2 linked regions of the Macaca mulatta genome follow. The protein of the gene in region 1 purifies or fractionates together with the protein of each later gene. This does not show direct contact. Links are inferred from orthologs where the notes say so. Each region holds a gene or a part of one and is shown in the gene's direction. Other genes may lie near its edges. The genes, in order: CSTF3 and CSTF2T.

The links.
Region 2: the proteins of CSTF3 (region 1) and CSTF2T purify together in Homo sapiens (co-immunoprecipitation; 4 studies listed by BioGRID and IntAct, counting the BioPlex papers as one, with this or other methods). This does not show direct contact. The link is inferred for Macaca mulatta from reciprocal best matches to the Homo sapiens genes CSTF3 and CSTF2T.

What each region holds. Positions count from the first base shown.
Region 1 is NC_133419.1:32,188,949-32,198,482, forward strand, and holds the end of CSTF3 (cleavage stimulation factor subunit 3), read left to right. Parts: intron 1-269; coding exon 270-465; intron 466-3,880; coding exon 3,881-4,034; intron 4,035-5,029; coding exon 5,030-5,124; intron 5,125-5,244; coding exon 5,245-5,305; intron 5,306-5,723; coding exon 5,724-5,926; 3' UTR 5,927-6,428; downstream 6,429-9,534. UniProt on the Homo sapiens protein: One of the multiple factors required for polyadenylation and 3'-end cleavage of mammalian pre-mRNAs.
Region 2 is NC_133414.1:98,060,113-98,070,894, forward strand, and holds CSTF2T (cleavage stimulation factor subunit 2 tau variant), read left to right. Parts: upstream 1-4,815; 5' UTR 4,816-4,867; coding exon 4,868-6,730; 3' UTR 6,731-6,843; downstream 6,844-10,782. UniProt on the Homo sapiens protein: May play a significant role in AAUAAA-independent mRNA polyadenylation in germ cells. Directly involved in the binding to pre-mRNAs.

The sequences.
Region 1 (9,534 bases):
GGGGACAAGAGCAAGACTCCATCTCAAAAAAAAAAATACTTAAGCAAAAATAAGATGAAGCAAATATGGCAAAATATTAGCAATATAGGTAGTGGTATGTAGGTATTCATTATACTATTCTATTTTTCTATAGTTTAAAAATCTTTATAATAAAAAGTCACTTTTTATAACTTATGGGGAAAAGAGAGAGCTTAAGGCGTTTTTGTAAATGAACTCCCTGCCCTAAACCCAGAATAATTAAAGTATTAATTGTATTTCTTTTCTTGCAGAGAAATCTGGGCCCGATTTCTAGCATTTGAAAGTAATATTGGTGATCTAGCTAGTATACTCAAGGTGGAGAAAAGACGGTTTACAGCATTCAAAGAAGAGTATGAAGGGAAAGAAACGGCTTTACTAGTAGATAGATACAAGTTCATGGATTTATATCCTTGCTCTGCAAGTGAATTAAAAGCACTTGGTTATAAGGTATGTACTTAGGATCAAGATGTGGAATGTCCTCACTTTTCCAGTGTTTTAGAAGAGTTCATTGATAACCTGCACTCTAAATTCTGAAATGTGAATTAATCTAGTTTTGGAATAGATTTGCAGGAAACAAGAAAAAAGTTCAGAGATTTTCCTGGGGTTTAGGAAATGCTGAGTGTCAGAGTAGCTGCACAAAATGAGAATTGAAATGGGATTTAATAGTTTCATTCTGTCCCTGAAATTGTCAGTGCCTTATATCTTATATCTGGTGGGCAAGATGGAGGAGGTGTGGAGGGAAGAGAAACAAAAGAAAATCTGAATGTTACCTTAGGTATTACTTTTTTTTCTAATAGTTCTTATCAAATTGATACATATATTTTGACCGATCTTAAACCAAATATAGTTCCTGTTGCATATTTTGTAAGATATAATGAAGAAATATTACAGCTTATTAAATCCATAAAGTTCCTTGAGGGATTTGTATTCTTAAAACAGCGCTCCTTCAGTGACCTTTGGGGGAATTAACTCATCTATGAATGGAACTCTTCTATAGCGACTACTGAGTCATAAGAAAACAAATCTGGCACCTGAACCTGTTCGGGCCACAGGGAGAGATTAATATTTACAAAGCCCCAGAAACATCCCGTGCTAAGAAAACCGTTATATCATCTCTTAATCTTTCTGTGACATGTGAACAAAGACTAAGATGGAAATTCGCAGAGAAGTCCTCGGTTGATCTTTTTAAGGCAACCACCATTAGGATGTTCCTAACCATCATTCTCCTTTTTCTCACGGCCCTCTTTTAGCCTGGGTCTTGCTCTGTCTGATCCAGATAAAATATTTTGAGGAAAAACTACCCATAATTGATATTCAGACATTTTTGTTAATGGAAGCCCTATTTCTGTGCCAGACGCAGATTCCTAGTATGAACCATAGGATTACTGCTCAGGGATAAGTTAGTTTCTTCTTCTAGTTTTAACTGCTTCTCAATGAAAAGTCAAAGATATTTTAAGACTACAGTAAGTCCTCATTTAACATTACTGATAGGTTCTTAGAACTTTGACTTTAAGCTAAATGATATGCAGTGGGTCCTCAAATAACGTTTTTGTGTTTAACATGGTTTTGTTATAACCTTGATAAGAAAAGTATTGGTTTTGCTATACATCGTTTCTCTCTCTCTCTATTTTTATTTTTTTTTTGAAATGGTCTCACTCTATCGCCCAGGCTGGAGTGCAATGGTGAGATCATGGCTCACTGCAGCCTTGACTTCCCTGGGCTCAGGTGATCTCCTGTTTCAGCCTCCCAAGTAGTTGGGATTACAGGCAAATGCCACCACACCTGGCTAATTTTTGTATTTTTTTGTGGAGATGGGGTTTCACCATGTTGCCCGGGCTGGCCTCTAACTCCTAGGCTCAAGGGATCCACTTGCCTTGGCCTCCCAAAGTGCTGGGATTACAGGCGGCAGCCATCACGCCTAGCCCATCATTTCTCTAAAAGTTGCAGTTTCCTAGAACCTATTAACAATGTTAAGTGAGGGACTTACTGTACTTTGTGCCATTGCTAGAAAAGGCTATTTCAACTTTTCCAAGATGAAAATGAAAATTAAGGCAGTTAATTAAAATAAAGATCTGCCAGGCATGGTGACTCATGCCTATAATCCCAGCACTTTGGGAGGCTGAGACGGGTGGATCACTTGAGCCCAGTAGTTCAAGACCAGCCTGGGAAACATGATGAAATCCCATCTCTACCAAAAAAAGAGGGAAAAATACAACAATTAGCCAGGTGTGGTGGCACCTGCCAATGGTCCCAGCTATTCGGGAGGCCAAGATGAGCCCAAGAGGGAAGCTGAGGCTACTTTAGTGAGCCGTGATCAAGCCACTGCACTCCTGACTGGGTGACAGAGTGAGATCTTGTCTTTAAAAAAAAAAAAAAAAAATTAAAAAATACAAATAAACAGAAAAGAAAGATCTTATAGTGGCCAGATGTGGTGACTCACACCTGTAATCCCAGCACTTTGGGAGGCCGAGGCGGCTGGATCATCGGAGGTCAGGAGTTTGAGACCAGCCTAGCCAACATGGTGAAACCCCGTCTCTACTAAAATACAAAAATTAGCTGGGCTTGGTGGCGGGCATCTGTAATCCTAGCTACTCAGGAGGCTGAGGCAGGAGAATTGCTTGAACCTGGGAGGTTGTAGTGAGCTGAGATAGTGCCACTGTACTCCAGCCTGGGTGACAGAGTGAGACTCTGTTTCAAAAAAAAAAAAAAGAAAATAGCAAGTATTCAGGAGTAGAACTACTTCCTGAATATGATGTTTTCCATCTTACATTTGTTTCTACTCTTGTTTTTTGGGGAAGGATTAATGTGCTTCTGTGTGTTATGGTGAGTGGTATGGTGTATATGTATCTGTGTGAGAAAGATTTTTTAAAAGTGATACCCAATGTGCCTACCATTTAGATTTGCTTATATAATTAATACCAGATGTCACCAACTGCATTTCAACAAATTTTGAGAAAGTGGAATGCTTTTCTATCCTTCGTTGGTGGCAAAAAGGGGTTATTTTGTTTCTAGACAGACAGAGTGACACTGGGTTGCCTGGAGCAGGGGAGCTCCTCTGAGATAGGGCCTCTGTTCATAGGTGACTGTATTGCTCCCTTTGGCATATCTTGTCTTAGCCCTGGCAGGGCAATGCTAGTGTACTGAAAGGAAGACTGTGGATGGATTTGAGGTCAGAGAGGCCTGCCCTCCCAATCCTCCTCTCTCTACTTACTATCTGTGTGACCTGGGAAATATCAAAACCTTTGTGAGCTTCAGTCCCTTCTATAAAATGGAGATGTTACTATTTGCTTCATTAAAGAGAGAATAAATGGCTAAAATTGCCTGATGAATAGTGTCTGCTCAATAAATATTCCTTGTCCCCTGTAATAAATAGCACATTGGAAATAACTTTTCATTGCATTAGCAAAATCTTAACCCGTGTGATGCCTTCACAAAACAGGACGTCACTTAATCCAGCTTCGTTTAATGAAACTGATGTTCAATTCTAATGGAAGGGAGGTGTCAGAAGATCTAAAATCTTGAATTTTCCTCCAAATTATCCTGACCTCTACTTAGTTCCCAGTCTTATGACTACCCAAAAAAACTTGTATCTGTCCTACAAATGTCCTACCTGGCAACACTGAGTTTAATGACTTTTAACTTGTGTTGGGGTAAAGTTATAATACAGAGTCTTAGAACCAAATGGCTTTCCTTGTTGAGTAACAATCTTTACCATCATTAGAGTCCTTGCTTATCCGTCTCCATTTTCTTCCTGTGGTTTTAACCCAGATATTCACACTGTATCCTCAAGGTTATGAATTGCACGATTATTCTCTAGTAGTCCCTTTTTCAGGTTTAGGATTCTTCTGTTCTGCATTTTCAGGATGTCTCCCGTGCTAAGCTAGCAGCTATAATTCCAGACCCAGTTGTAGCTCCTTCTATAGTGCCTGTTCTGAAAGATGAAGTGGATAGAAAACCAGAATACCCTAAACCAGACACTCAGCAGATGATTCCATTTCAGCCACGACATTTAGCACGTAAGCCATGACTTTAGATCCAGTACTGAGACCTCGGTTTGTTTGTTGATTTAAATCCAAAGTGTGGGGGTAAAGTGACATGGCCTCTCAATTGTGGGTTAATTATTAGACTTAGGGTCACTATGACAAGTGATTTAGCTTTAATCTTTGAAACAGATTAACTAAGAATGTCCTAAAAACAAAACTTCAATGATCCAGATTCCAGGAACCCATTTTGGCAGTAATACTTGGTTTTCAGAAATGCTGCTATGCCCAGGTGCAGTGGTTCACGCCTGTAATCCCAGCACTTTGGGAGGCCAAGGCAGGTGGATCAGCTGAGGTCAGGAGTTCAAGACCAGCCTGACCAACATGGTGAAACCCTGTCTTTACTAAAAATACAAAAATTTTCTGGGCATGGTGGCACACGCATGTAATCCCAGCTACTTGGGAGGCTGAGGCAGGAGAATCACTTGAACCCAGGAGGCGGAGGTTGCAGTGAGCCCAGATCTTGCTATTGCACTCCAGCCTGGGTAACAAGAGCGAAACTCTGTATCAAAAAAAAAAAAAAGCTAAACAGCTTTTTACCTGAACAGCTGGAAACTTTCTTCACTGATACAATGTTGGTTTCTTTACTTACTAATGGTTAGTAGCCTCTCTAGATTCTTTTTGAACAAAGCCCTTCTGATTAAATATGCTGTTGAATAATTGACTTGAAAAAGGATTGCTAAACAAATGACTTGTGTAACTCAGAAACAGTCTTTGACAAAAACTGACTTTAGTTCAGTCCCCAATTGTCTTATACAAAGTCACTTGTCTACTTCTCTGCCTCGCAGTGGCCATGGCATTGAGACTGCTCTGTCTCACCCACTTTGGTTTGGTAAAGCCCTAAAAGTATTTTCAGTGTCCAGAACAAAGCAGCATAGACATGGAAGATCTTTATGTGCAAGTCACTTGATTTTAGCTCTGTGTAGAAATTCTTCCATCCCACTTGATTCATACTTTTCTTTTTCTCACAGCTCCAGGCTTACACCCTGTACCTGGTGGAGTGTTCCCAGTCCCTCCTGCAGCTGTTGTTTTAATGAAACTTCTCCCTCCTCCTATCTGTTTCCAGGTTTGTTCACTTATTTTCACGGTAGATACTGGCTCTGTGGGTTACAGTAATTGTGTATAAAGTTACTGCTATTTTAACTTGTCAGATTACTGGGATTAAAATTTATTCATGTCAAAATAGGGTCCTTTCGTACAAGTGGATGAACTGATGGAAATTTTCCGAAGATGCAAGATACCAAATAGTAAGTAACAGAAAATCCATTTCAGAGTGTCATTCCACATTGTTGTCTCATAAGCCGTAGAGATTATTATTCTCTGCCACTGAAGTTTTTGAAACCAGCCAGCCAATTTGAAGTACAGTGAAACCCAGGAGTTACCCAAACCCTCTTTGGCAGAGAGAGGCTTATTCATACTGAATTCCACTAAGTAAAATGTCATAAAAGTTTATCTTTTCTATTCATGTGAACATGTACTTTGGCTTATTAAAATTATTAGTTTTAACAGCAGCTTTTGTCTTTTTCTTTCATTATTTAGTATCAGTAGTACTATCCCATGTTTTGCTAAATTAGTAGGCTATGAAATGAACTATAAAGTGTCCACAGTTGAACATACATACCCTTTCATAGTGGAATATGTTTTTACGTTTTGTTGTTTTAACAGCTGTTGAGGAAGCTGTGAGGATCATTACTGGTGGGGCCCCAGAGCTAGCTGTAGAAGGCAACGGCCCTGTGGAAAGTAATGCAGTACTCACCAAGGCCGTCAAAAGGCCCAACGAGGATTCAGATGAAGATGAAGAAAAGGGAGCCGTTGTCCCCCCTGTTCATGACATTTACAGAGCACGGCAGCAGAAGCGGATTCGGTAGGGCTTAAACGCCTCTGCAGAAAACTCCTGTCCAGGATTCCTTTTGCCTCAAGTCGTATGTTTAAAAGAGACAACGCTTTGTTACAAGGTTCTTGGAAACAAAGTTGTATTGTCATTGGTGCCTCTATCATATGGTTCTTGAGAAAAAACAAACCAACCTGTGTGAATTTTAGAATATGGAACAGACCTATGCTCTAAGCAAAATTAGGTTTTCAAAAATGTGAGAACAATACAAAATGGCAGAACCACATTTTGTTCCCTCTTCAAGGGTGTCTTGTATGTGCCGCTTGAAGATTTGTGAGTTTTTCAACAGTTTTATTTTAAAAACTGGATGGCTTATGATTGTAAAGCATTTTATCACATTTTCTGAAAACAATTGTTCTTGGTTTGCTTATGTAGAGTCCTGCCTTATTGTTTGTTTTTATTTATGGCAGAATGTATGAAATCCGTTTTGTAGTTTGAAATTTTAAAAGTCCTTTGAAAAATAAAAGGATTCAGAAACATCATGCTTCCTCTGCTCCTTTCAGATTTTATTTACAATAACTACTTTTTTTATGTTATTTATCCAATACCATTTAAAAATAAATGTCAGTACAAGGAAAAGTCATCTTGTATTTACTAAATGTATTAATCACATACTCTTTCCTGGTCTTTTTTGGTGCTAACTAAAAACATTTTTTTTTGTTTTTTTGAGATGGAGTCTTGCTCTGTTGCCCAGGCTGGAGTGCAATGGCCGGTTCTCAGCTCACTGCAAGCTCCGCCTCCCAGGTTTACGCCATTCTCCTGCCTCAGCCTCCCGAGTAGCTGGGACTACCGGCGCCCGCCACCTTGCCTGGCTAGTTTTTTTGTATTTTTTTAGTAGAGACGGGGTTTCACCTTGTTAGCCAGGATGGTCTCGATCTCCTGACCTCGTGATCCACCTCAGCCTCTACCATTTTAGAAATCCTCAAATATGAATGCATTTGCTCCCCAGTAAATCTGAGGCAGATTAAGATCCTGTTAATACTTTTGTCTCTCTTGAAAGCAACCTAAGTGTGGAAATTCCTTTAACCACCTGCTGTCTTGTTCTCACACAGAGTGTCCCTTATCTGAATATACTTGGGACCAGAAGTGTTCAGGATTTTGGATTTGTTTAGATTTCAGAATATTTGCATCATACTTACCAGTTCACCATCCCTAATCCAAAAGTCCAAATTCCAAAAAACTCCACTAAGCATTTTCTTTGTGCATCATGTTGACACCCAAAAGGTTTTGGATTTTGGAACACTTTGGATTTCAGATTAGGGATACTGAACTTGAATATTTTCACACGTGGCCAGTTCTCAAGAACCTTTTTTTTCCCATGAGCTAAACATAGATAACATTAAGGAAAATGACATCTATTTAACTAAATTCTAATTACAGTGAGCAAAAACTTGTCATGCAAATTAAGTCCAAAGAAATAGACTGTGCTCTTTGGTAACATTACCTCCTCTTCTCTTTACGTGTTAAAAACTAAAAAGCAGGAAGGAAACAAAAAGGAGGGGAGGACAAGTATTATGGTTATAAAGAAATGATCTTACATATTAGAAACAATTTAGACAGTTTAGAATTTGAATTCAGATGTGATTAAATAATCTGACATTTAAAATCAGCTTCAGATGGCCCACAAAAGCCTTACTTGTAAAAGAAAAGTTTTCCTGAATCATTTTCTCATATAAATTTATATGTAGCAAGGTTATATAAATTGGTCAAAAGTGTGTTTAGTTTCCAGTATTTTCCCATTAAAGCTAAAATCGCCTCTCAAAACAAAGTCAGCTGCCTCTAATTCAGACTTTCTTACCCTTTCAAGTATCACTTTCAAGTTGTGAGTTTTTAAAAAATATCACAGTTACCATCAAAACTTAAGACACAAGTAGGCCAGGTGCGGTGGCTCACGCCTGTAAATCCCAGCACTTTGGAAGGCCGAGGCGGGCAGATTATTTGAGGCCAGGAGTTCAAGATCAGCCTGGCCAACATAGTGAAACCCTGTCTCTACTAAAAATACCAACAAAAATTAGCTGGGCATGGTAGCACAAGCCTGTAAATCCAGCTACTTGGGAGGCGAAGGCGTAAGAATTGCTTGAACCTGTGAGGCAGAGGTTGCAGTGAGCCGAGAGAGCACCACTGCACTCCAGCCTGGGTGACAGAGCGGGACTCTCAAAAAAAAAAAAAAAAAAAAAAAAAGACACAAGTAGTACCATATGGCATAGACTTTAAAATATAGAGGTGTAGGCTGGGCACAGTGGCTTGTGCCTGTAATCCCAGCATTTTGGGAGGCTGAAGATTACTTGAGGCCAGGAGTTCGAGGCCAGCTGGCCAACATAGTGAAACCCCGTCTCTACTAAAAATACCAAAAAAAAAAAAAAAAGTTAGCTGGACATGGTAGCACAAGCCTGTAGCCCCAGCTACTCTGGAGGCTGTGGTGGGAGGATCACCTGAGCCCAGGAGGCCAAGGCTGCAGTGAACCATGATCGCACTACTGTACTCCAGCCTGGGCGACAGAGTGAGACCCTGTTTCAAAAATAAAATATAGAGGTGTAGACTTGTTCCTGAAGTGCCATTTTTGGTGGTTAGTGTCATGGGTGAGCAGCGACTATCTGGGGCTGATGGTGTGGGGGTAAGAAGAAACTTACCAAGACGATTGTAGGTAGAGAAAGGTAGATTAGAGAAGGTATGAAGATGCACTGCAAGGCTGGAACAGGCAGAGATGGGGCTTGTCTGCAAAGAGACAAAGGCTTGCTGGGGATTTTATAGGATGGTGCTATGTGCTGAAGAGGGTTTTATGTACTACTGAGAATGCCAAGGTTGCAGTGAGCTAACTTGAAGGTGTCTGGTGATAAGCTGGGTGCAGTACGGCTACATGTCCTGGACCATGAAGAAAGGCAGACTCATAATTTATCTGCTTCTCCCTGTTCCTAGCAGCCTGACTCCCTTTCCCTAATTAGGACTCCACAGTTAGTGTTTTGAAGAAGACAAACAGGCCGGGCGAGGTGGCTCACGCCTATAATCACAGCTCTTTGGGAGGCTGAGGTAGGCGGATCACCTGAGGTCAGGCGTTCGAGACCAGCCTGACCAACATGGTGAAACCCCGTCTCTACTAAAAATACAAAATTAGCTGGGCATGGTGGCACATGCCTACAATCCCAGCTACTTGGGAGACTGAGGCAGGAGAATTGCTTGAACCTGGGAAGCAGATGTTGTAGTGAGCCAAGATCATACCATTGCACTCTAGCCTGGGCATCAAGAGCGAAACTCAAACTCCGTCTCAAAAAAAAAAAAAAAAAAAAGACAAAACAGTTTCAAATACTTGTAAGTAAGTGATCTGCAAAAGTGTTCCCATAAACAATAAAACAAAGCCACGCAAACATGCATGAAAAAACGTTTTTTAGCGCGTGCGTGCGCGCACACACACACACTTGGTGAAAATTGTCTTTAATCACCTATCAGTCCATTCCGACAATGCTATAAAGAAATACCTGTGGGCCGGGCGCGGTGGCTCAAGCCTGTAATCCCAGCACTTTGGGAGGCCGAGACGGGCGGATCACGAGGTCAGGAGATCGAGACCATCCTGGCTAACAAGGTGAAACC
Region 2 (10,782 bases), on another chromosome or scaffold:
TCTCTTTGATTTGAGGCACGTTATTCAATGCCACAGGTTCTGTCCTTGGTAAAATGAAATATTTGTGAATTAATAAACTTTAAAGTCATTTCCTATCATGCATTCAACAAATATATAATGAACATCCACCTGTGCTGAGCTCTATCCCAGGTGTTGAGGATATAGAGGTGAAAACAAAATATTTATCTGTTTATCTATCAGCTATCTATACTATAATTGCATTCTGGTTTTGTCTTCTCTTTTTCTTTTAGATATGGAAATTTTACTCTGTTGCCCAGGCTGGAATGCAGTGGTGTGATCTCAGTTCACTGCAACATCCACATCCCACATTCCAGCGATCCTCCCACCTCGGCCTCCAAAATAGCTGGGATTAGAAGCACGCACTACCACATCTGGTTAATTTTTGCATTTTTAGTAGACATGGGGTTTCACCATGTTGGCCAGGCTGGTCTTGAACTCCTGATCGAATGATCCACCCGCTGCCGCCTTCCAAAGTGCCAGGATTACAGGCGTGAGTCACTGTGCCTGCCAACTATGATTGCATTCTTATAATGTGGTGGTTCTCAAAATTGAGCTTGAATTAGAACTACCTGGAAAACTTGTTCAAAGATTTCTCCATTTCTGATGCAACAGATTTGGAGTAGGGCCCCAAACTTTTATTTTCTAAGATATTTCCAGGTGATGCTGATGCCACTGAACCAAGGACCACATTTAGAGACCTTCTGTTCTGGTAGACTGTCTATTGTTTTCACTGCTGTATTGTCAGTGTTTGGAATAAATATTGATGGAATTAAATAATACATTTGAAGCACTTAGTTAACTGATAAAGGGGGATATACAATTATTTTATAGTTTAGAAGAAAAATTGCAATTTTACTGAAAGGTAAAGGAGTTACTATAATCAGGAAGGTACAAGTTATAAGGAATAGTTTATATCCAAAGAAAAACAAAATTACTTCTAACCTAGAGGAAAGGGTAGAAAGGTCATAGAAAGCTTTGTGGAGCAGTTTATTTGTGCTATTCCTTGAAGGACCCATACACTTATTTCAAAAATGCCTGTCATTACTCAAAATATTTTTAGTTCTTGTCTTTGCAATTTGTCTACTTAATCTATAGTGAATCTTTTCTTTTTTCCCTATACTCTATGGTGAATCTTTTTCTTAAATTCCCTCAAAGATTATAGAATTTTTATATTCTGATGTAAGGTTTGATATTTAGAATTAGCTAAGCATGACATTTTTTCCAAATCTGGTCAGGAAGTTGGGTGATTTTGTTGCATAATCCTGTTCTTTGTTAAAAATAAAGTACACTGTTCAGTTAGTGTACTGATTTTCTAGTATGACTTACAAATGAGGCCCAAAGCAATTTCAGGGTAGAAGTTCAAAAATCAGTCTGAGGCCAGGTACAATGTCTTATGCCTATAATGCCCAATCTCTGGGAGGCTGAGGCAAGTAGATCGCTTGAGTTCAGGAGTTCGAGACCAGCCTGGCCAACATGATGAAACCCCGTCTCTACAAAATACACAAAAAACTAGCCATGAGCGGTGGCATATGCCTGTAGTCTTTACTCGGGAGGCTAAAGCAGGAGCCCAGGAGGCAGAGGCTTGAGACCAGGAGGCAGAGGCTGCAGTAAGCCAAGATCACACCATTGCACTCCAGCCTGGCTGACGGGAGTGAAATCCTGTGTCAAAAAAAAAAAAAAAAAAAAAAAAAAAAATCATTTTGAGCAATGGATTAAGTTTATAGTTTCTGAAAGTGATTAGAGGACAGCTTCCATTTGGCCATACATTCTCTTGTGTGTTTGAAATCAGTCTTAACATATTTGGTATCAATCTATTGAAAGAATCAACATCTGAACATACACTATACCACGTACACTTTTCTTCAGAGTGTATGCCATGCTATAAATATCTAAAATTTAAACTTTATGGGAATAAAAAAGCAGTATAAAAATGGATGTTCTTCCAAGTTAGATCTATTAAAAAAAATATGTACTGGTACCAGGAAATATACATAGGTTTCTCTGAGCTCTTGATGTGGGGCCATTCAGTTAACAATAAGTATTAGTTTGTGTGTTCTGGGCATGGAATTACATGGTGGGTCACACTGGTCCTGTATGAAGGGGGGCATGACAAATCATTCTACTAGTTTGCAATAGTGGGACTAAAGAGAACATGGAAAGCCTGTGACTAAGGCACACTCTATAGTCATAACTTCCCCCTTCTTGTTTTTCCCCATAGTCCTTCAACTACTCTCTGTTCACCCAGTCTTCATGTCCAGTGTATCTTCAGTAGCAGATCAGCATGTACTAGAATAGTATATTAATAGTAAATTAATAATGTTTTTAAAACCTTTACCTAAAACCTTTTAATAGAGTATACTAAATTTAGTTCGGTCTGATATAAATGAGAAAATCTACTAACAATCCCTAGGACCAATGATTCTTAAAGATCTCCAAACCAGCAGCATCAGCGTCACCTGAGAGCTTATTAGAAATGCAAATTCTCCAGACCTGCTAAAGCAGAATCTGACTTAACAAGCCGTGGCTCAAGGTGATTCTGATGCATGTGAGGACCACTGGTTTAGATAGTATCAGCAGTAAAGAAACTCTGTCAAGCTGTGCGATCTTCTATGAATTTTGCAATGTATTATAATACCCCGTTACTATCTTCATGATTACTACATTTAATACACACACAATTACACACATATTCAACTTGTAAGTTACCCTTGACGGGACATGTATAAAAAAGGTATGGCTTCTCTTTGTAAAGTGATGGTGTAGAAGGAAGAAAAATAAATTTGTCTTTAGTTTTTTGAAATGATACTATCCTTAACCCCTCCCCTTTTGTCCCCAATAAATGAATCACACTGGGGAAACACTGCTAGCAGATGACTATTCTGTTTCTTTGATATAGCAGGGAAATCTTGTTAGGTGATGTAAATGCACCTTATCATTTGCAAATATAAACTGTCGTGCGTCTTGGGTGAACAGCTAAGTACAGAACCGTTTCAAAAACTTGAAGGTAAATGGATGTCTTATTTGCAACTAAACCATCATACTCATGTCAAATCTATTCATTGGACGAGGATTCTGCGGATACATAATACAATTTTTTGGCTGAAATTTAGAAGTTTCATAATCCACTTAAGAGGCATATTTCAGAATAAAATAATTCTCTGTTTTGGAGTTAAAGCACAGACTTGGAGCAGTCCAGTCCACAGATGTATAATGCAATATATACATATAATTTTAAATTTTCTAATAGCCACATTTTAAAAAGTGAAATGAATAACATTAACTTCAAAATAATTTTTTAATCCAGTATACAAAAATATTACATTTCAACTTATAAACAATATAAAATTGATGAGCTATTTTTACATTTTTTGGTATTTGATCATTAAAATCTTTCATGTGTCTTACATGCATGGCATACCTCAACTGGAATGTTAAATTTTGACTGGAAGTACTTTCTTTTTATTTCTTTTTTTGTTTGTTTGTTTGTTTTATCTTAGTGTTCTGTGAAATGATTTTTATTTAAAATACAATTTATTACTGCAAAAGTAGATTTTATACCCAAGTTGTCATAAATACTAAAAAAGTTTTCCAATAGCCTACTGAACATTAGTTTTTATATTTAAATTAATAAAAAATGAAATTTAAAATTCAATTCCTCAATCACACTAGCTGCATTTCAAATATTCAATATGCGTAAGGCAGTGTAGATCTGGAGCTATGCGAGACCAACCTGGGTTAGAATCCTGACTTTGCCTCTTTCCGGCTGCTTGTCCTTGGGAATTTACCTAGCCATCCCCAAGTTTCAGTTCTATCTTCGAATTGGAGTCGAGGAAATCCCACAGTGAATATGTTTTAACTCCTGCCTGGAAAGCTAACAGCAGAAGACAACCACTATTTGTTTTTCCCTTCATGGAAGTGGTGGATTCACTGCATGATATAATAAAAATCAGAACCAATCAATGTAGGGATAGTTAAGTAAATTTCATTATTCCATACTCTGAAGCCATAAAATGCTAATAACTAATTTATTTAATCACCAATTAATACTGAAATCGGTTATTATTAAGGAAGAAAACCGTAATATTAGGAATAGCACGACTGCTGCCCGTGTGCTCAAAAAAACCTAGAAGGGTCTGCCACCCATCCATTAACAGCGGTTATAGGAAGCCACAGAGCGGGGGCAGGGTCCAGCAGGCACACGCTTCAGTTTATATTTCTTGTCAGTTAATTTCCAAAAACGTTGTTCTAAAAAGGAAATATAATACTGTTTTACTTTAAGGGGCAAATCTCAAATGTGCTTTGAAACGACTACGCTTTTGCCTCAGTCTGGAATGTGATTTGAAATCTAGCTTAACTATACTATAATAAAAGGCCACATGAAAATACTTTGTCAGAACGAAAAACATGCCGCCTTAAATCCGCTTTCGGTTGGCGGTTTCCCGCCGGTGGAACGGAAGCAAAACCGCCTTTGACGTCAAGGGAGGAGTCCCCTCCCAGTTACTATGGTGAAGTCTATGCGGCCATCTTTACTGTGGTCATCTCGCACCAAGGGTGTCGTAGCGGGGCTGTTGGGGCTCCACAGAAAGTCGGCGGAAGGTGAAATGGGAAAGGAATCATGCGACTCTGTAATAAGAAGCTGACAGAACCACGAAGGATCAGGGACTTAAAGCATTAGATAACTTGTTAGTGGGATGCAGGTTCCACAGGCAAGCAGAACGATTCAAGCGAATTAGTAAGGTTTCTGCCCGGATCTTGAGAGCCGCTTCCGTTGCTCAGCGGAAGTGTCGGTCGCAAGAGGACAGACGCCTGGAAGAATCCGCTATCGGCAGTGTGCACAACCGGAATCATGTCGAGTTTGGCGGTGAGAGACCCGGCAATGGATCGATCACTGCGTTCCGTGTTCGTGGGGAACATTCCGTATGAGGCAACTGAGGAGCAGTTAAAGGACATTTTCTCGGAGGTTGGTTCTGTTGTCAGTTTCCGGCTGGTATACGATAGAGAGACGGGAAAACCCAAGGGCTATGGCTTCTGCGAATACCAAGACCAGGAAACCGCGCTTAGTGCCATGCGGAACCTCAATGGGCGGGAGTTCAGTGGCAGAGCGCTTCGGGTGGACAATGCTGCCAGTGAAAAGAATAAGGAGGAGTTAAAGAGCCTCGGGCCTGCAGCGCCCATTATTGACTCACCCTATGGGGATCCCATCGATCCAGAAGATGCCCCTGAATCGATTACCAGAGCAGTAGCCAGTCTCCCCCCGGAGCAGATGTTTGAGCTGATGAAGCAGATGAAGCTCTGTGTCCAAAACAGCCACCAGGAAGCTCGAAACATGTTACTTCAAAATCCACAACTGGCTTATGCGCTGTTGCAGGCGCAAGTAGTGATGAGAATCATGGATCCAGAGATTGCTCTGAAAATTCTTCATCGGAAGATACATGTCACACCACTGATCCCAGGCAAATCTCAGTCTGTGTCTGTCTCTGGCCCTGGCCCTGGCCCTGGTCCTGGCCCTGGCCCTGGGCTCTGCCCAGGACCTAATGTTCTGCTGAACCAGCAGAATCCACCAGCTCCTCAGCCTCAGCATTTGGCTAGAAGACCTGTGAAGGACATTCCTCCTCTGATGCAGACTCCTATCCAGGGTGGAATTCCAGCTCCAGGGCCAATACCAGCTGCAGTTCCCGGACCTGGTCCTGGTTCCTTAACTCCTGGAGGAGCAATGCAGCCCCAACTTGGAATGCCAGGGGTTGGCCCAGTGCCTTTAGAGCGGGGACAAGTGCAGATGTCAGATCCTAGAGCTCCTATACCTCGTGGACCCATGACTCCTGGTGGTCTACCTCCTCGAGGACTGTTAGGAGATGCTCCAAATGACCCACGTGGAGGGACTTTGCTTTCAGTCACTGGAGAAGTGGAGCCCAGAGGTTATCTGGGTCCACCCCATCAGGGTCCCCCCATGCATCATGCCTCTGGTCATGACACTCGTGGCCCTTCCTCACATGAGATGAGGGGAGGGCCATTAGGAGATCCCAGACTGCTAATTGGAGAGCCCAGAGGCCCCATGATAGATCAAAGGGGTCTACCTATGGATGGTAGAGGTAGTAGAGATTCTCGAGCGATGGAGACTCGCGCCATGGAAACTGAGGTCTTAGAGACACGTGTAATGGAGAGGAGAGGAATGGAGACCTGTGCCATGGAAACCAGAGGGATGGAAGCAAGAGGCATGGATGCAAGAGGATTGGAGATGAGGGGCCCTGTCCCCAGTACAAGAGGTCCTATGACTGGTGGAATTCAGGGTCCTGGTCCCATTAATATAGGGGCAGGTGGCCCTCCTCAGGGACCCAGACAGGTCCCCGGCATTTCAGGGGTGGGGAATCCTGGAGCTGGTATGCAGGGTACAGGCATACAAGGAGCAGGCATGCAGGGAGCAGGCATGCAGGGGGCAGGCATACAAGGAGGAGGGATGCAGGGGGCAGGCATACAAGGAGTGGGTATACAAGGAGGAGGCATACAGGGGGCAAGCAAGCAAGGTGGAAGCCAGCCTAGCAGTTTTAGTCCTGGGCAGAGCCAGGTCACTCCACAGGATCAGGAAAAGGCGGCTTTGATCATGCAGGTTCTTCAACTAACTGCAGATCAGATTGCCATGCTGCCCCCTGAGCAAAGGCAGAGTATCCTGATTTTAAAGGAACAAATCCAGAAATCCACTGGAACTTCTTGAAAGGTTTTAGAAAATATTTGGCTGTAGTCTCAAAGTTTATTCTGTAGCATGGAGAATGGGTGCAAAAAGCTGACTTCTGCATCCCCACACTTGGATTAGGGTTTCCCTCCTCCTAGAACCTAATCTTACTTTTTGTTCTTTTTCTTTCTTTCTGTTTTCCTTTTTTATTTTTAATTGAGGGTGGGGGGAGGAGGGAGTGTGTCTGTTCACTTTAAGTTACTGTAAAATAACTCTGAACATGACAACATTATGCCAAATAAGATTACAAAGAATAAGCAGCAATATTGAAGTGTCTACAGTATGTTAACTACATTTTTTAAATGTTGAGTAAAACTTTGTGAAAACTGCTCATAAAGACTAAAAGTTGACCTGTTAAAACGTTAATGTACTAAGATGGTTTTAAGATTTTTGGTTGTATAACAAAATAAAGTTTACCCAAAAGTATAAGATACATTTTTTGGTAAACCATTTAAAATACAAAATCCTATTGGAGGCAATAGGATAAGCATTGTCTTAGTGTTTTAGAATTATTTTTGAAATATTAGAGTTAACAGGATAAGGTTAAACTTGTATTAGAATTGTTTTTTTCTAAAGTTGTGTTACCTGAAAAATCAAGGAGTACACCTGGTTTACTGTCGCTTCATTTATCCCAGCCTTCAGAGACCAGCAAGGTTCTGCCAGGCCCCAAGCATCAGAGCATGTTGATTTTGCTGTGACAATTCTAAAATCAACCAGGTTACTTAAGTCCACTCTGATGAACCCTATCTCTCAATACCTTCCAATTTCTCAATAGTCTTTAAGCCCTAAATCTGAGTCAGTAATTCTCTCACATCCTTCCCAAAAATCAGTGTCTAGGGACCAGTTGATCTGGATGAGTTATACATGATATTTGACTTTTCATAAGTAGTAGGTTTCACTAAGTAAACTCTCAGTTTCTTGGTATCTGGCTTTCATATACAGATGGTGTCCATTTGCTCCACCAGACAGGAGTTAAAAACCTTTAGACTAAACAGCATTTAACATGCCTTTTAGTTTTCTTATTTCATAATCTACTTTTCTATCATTAATCATGTTACCAGAATAATCAAGGCCCAAGTAGGTAGAAGTTTTTATATAGCCTGAATACTCAGTTGACTTATTGCTTATTTTACTTTTTGTAAGGAATACAGCCATTTAGTCCTAATATACATACCAATGAGACAATTAAAAATTGGTTGAAAGATGGGGCTTATTACATTGCGCTACTACGACTTTATTTTTCCTTGAAAATAAAGCCTTGAGGATGTGAACACAAACATTTGTATTATAAAACAAGTAGTAATTAATAAAAGCATAAGTTATCAAATATCAGGTGATCTTCTGTGGAGAAGAAAAACCAATATCTAGTTACAGATTACAAAATGTTTAATACAAAGAGCTGAAAATGTAGAAATTCAGTTATCTTCCCTTTGCAAAACGTTTACATTTTAAATTAGTATTCTTTGTTCACAAGGTTTTCACCCCTATGCTGTTGTTTTCTACTACCTGTTTTAGTCTGTTGTTCATATTGCTACTTTCCCATGTTTCCTATATGCTTCCCCTCTATTGGAGAGGATAACTCACCTTTACATGTGCGATAGTTATGGTTAATACTAAGTCACAGAGTTGGCTCGATCACTTTGAGATTCTAGTTGCTTTATCTCAAAGCTTTCACTGAAGGGCTCTAACTGAAAATTATTAAATGTTACAGTCTTTAGTCAAATCCCTGCATTGTTTAATGCAGAAAATAAAAATACAATTAAGGCTGAGTTAGTATCTGATATGTTTATTTTTAATGAATACATTATGCAAAAGTCTTCCATTGTGGATATACATGGGGCCTGATTATCTTTTGTTTTTAATGCAAAAGGCAGAACTAATGAAATTGCAGTAATGGATGGAACTCTCTTAGAACCATTATCTATATAGTTTGACAGTTGAAATAACTATAAAGACGTGCCATTTTGTGGTTGGTATGAGCAACATCTTGGTGATAGATATTAAGCTTATGTTCCCCAGAGAGAAATCCTCTGTATTCCAATAGCACCTTGTAGCTATCTTCATTACTGACAACCTTAGTTATATTGCAGTGCACTGTTTACCTTTTATCTGCTACTATACACTTCCACGCCCACAAACTGAACACAGGGACAGTCTATCTCACTACCATATTCACAGATGGGAAAAGGACAAAATATTCTATTAGAGTTATTAGGGGGAAAATCCCATTAAAAGCACATATACTGCCCTCATAAGAGTTTAGATTCAACACAGAACAAATGAGCTATAACAACTATTTCCATTTTAAAAAACAATTAGAAATAGGTTATTAAAAACAATCACCTCTACTCTGTGAAAGCTAAGGAAATAGATTGTCCTCACTTCTGATTCATTGAATGTTCCAATATTGATATAGAAAGCATAGAGCCTTATTTCATTTGATAGTAAAGAATAATGCAAGCAATATTGCCACAATCAGAATCTTTTATGTGTTTTACTACAAAATCATCGGTTATAACCCCTCACATCCTGAATTTTCCCTAAGATGTGTAGACTAAAATAAAATCACCAATTCATTCATCATAATAGTTGAAGATGATGGGGTGAAACAGTGATTTGCTAATGCTTCTTTAAGGCTTATCCTCTTGGGGAGTACATGTTTCTTGGGATTATGAAATGATCAACTTTAATCAGTGCCTGCCCATTAGCCCTTGCCCTCATATTACTGATGATTAATACCAAAAATATGTTTTAACATCTGTTGACTTCCTAGGATTTTGGAGTATTTGATAAGATATAAGCTAATGTGAATCCCAGACAAAGGTAGGCTAATCTAAGTAAGATTATGTCTGGTTTTTCAACTACACTTTTCAGAATTCTAATGGTAGAAAGACATTTTAAAAAGAAAACCGTTAACATAATCACAGCTTGCAAAGCTTCTTGTTTTTCCATGCTGTGATGGGACATTGGTTAAGCACACAGAACATAATTTCCTATGGCGTGTCAGACCTTTCTCTTAGGTCTGATGAGGTCTATGGATAATTATGTGCAACAACCTACTGTGGCAGAGAAACTGAATTAGCAGTTACATCTGACAGTCTTCTCACAAAAGAATGTCAGTCTCTCATTATTTTATATCAGCTAATCTCTAGATGGACTTTCCTGGTTGAAGCTTGCTTTCTTCATCAGTCTCTTATCAAGAATGCTCTGGTTAAGAACTGATTCATATTAAGGACATTATTAATATATTGTAAGTATCCCTAAATATAAAATTTAATATTAAATATTAATAGGGATATTACATGATATTGGCATACTATATAATGTGCTTATACATATTTATTTCAAATGTTAACTGACCCAGATCTTTAAATATTTTCATTTGTCTTTATGCACCCTGAAACAAAAGTTTACTTCTTTGGTTGAAAATTCACCTTCACAAATATTCATATTACCAATTACCTTGCTCATAAAATATTAACTAGCATGTTTGTTCTTGATATTATTCTATAACAATATATAACATGTAATTTGAGGGCAGAATTGTGTCAAAAGTGACACTTGGGAGTCGGGCGTGGTGGCACACACCTGTAATCCCAGCACTTTGGGAGGCTGAGGGGGGCCGATCACTTGAGGTCAGGAGTTCGAGACCAGCCCGGCCAATGTGGTGATACCCCATCTCTACTAAAAATACTAAACTTAGCCAGGCATGTTGGCAAGCCCCTGTAATCCCAGCTACTTGGGAATCTGAGGCACGAGAAGTATTTGAACTTGGGAGGTGGAGATTAGAGTGAGTCGAGATTGTGCCACTATACTCCAGACTGGGCAAACAGAGTGAGACTCTGTCTCAAAAAATAAAATAAAAAATAAGTGACACTTGGGGTAACATCATTAAAAATCAAAAACCTGGTGCTTATTAAATACTGCACAAAAAGCACCCAAATGTTTACCAAATAACAGCTTTTGTTTTTCTTTTTTTAAGACAGTGTCTCACTTTGTCACCCAGGCTGGAGTGCAGTGGCACAATCTCAGGT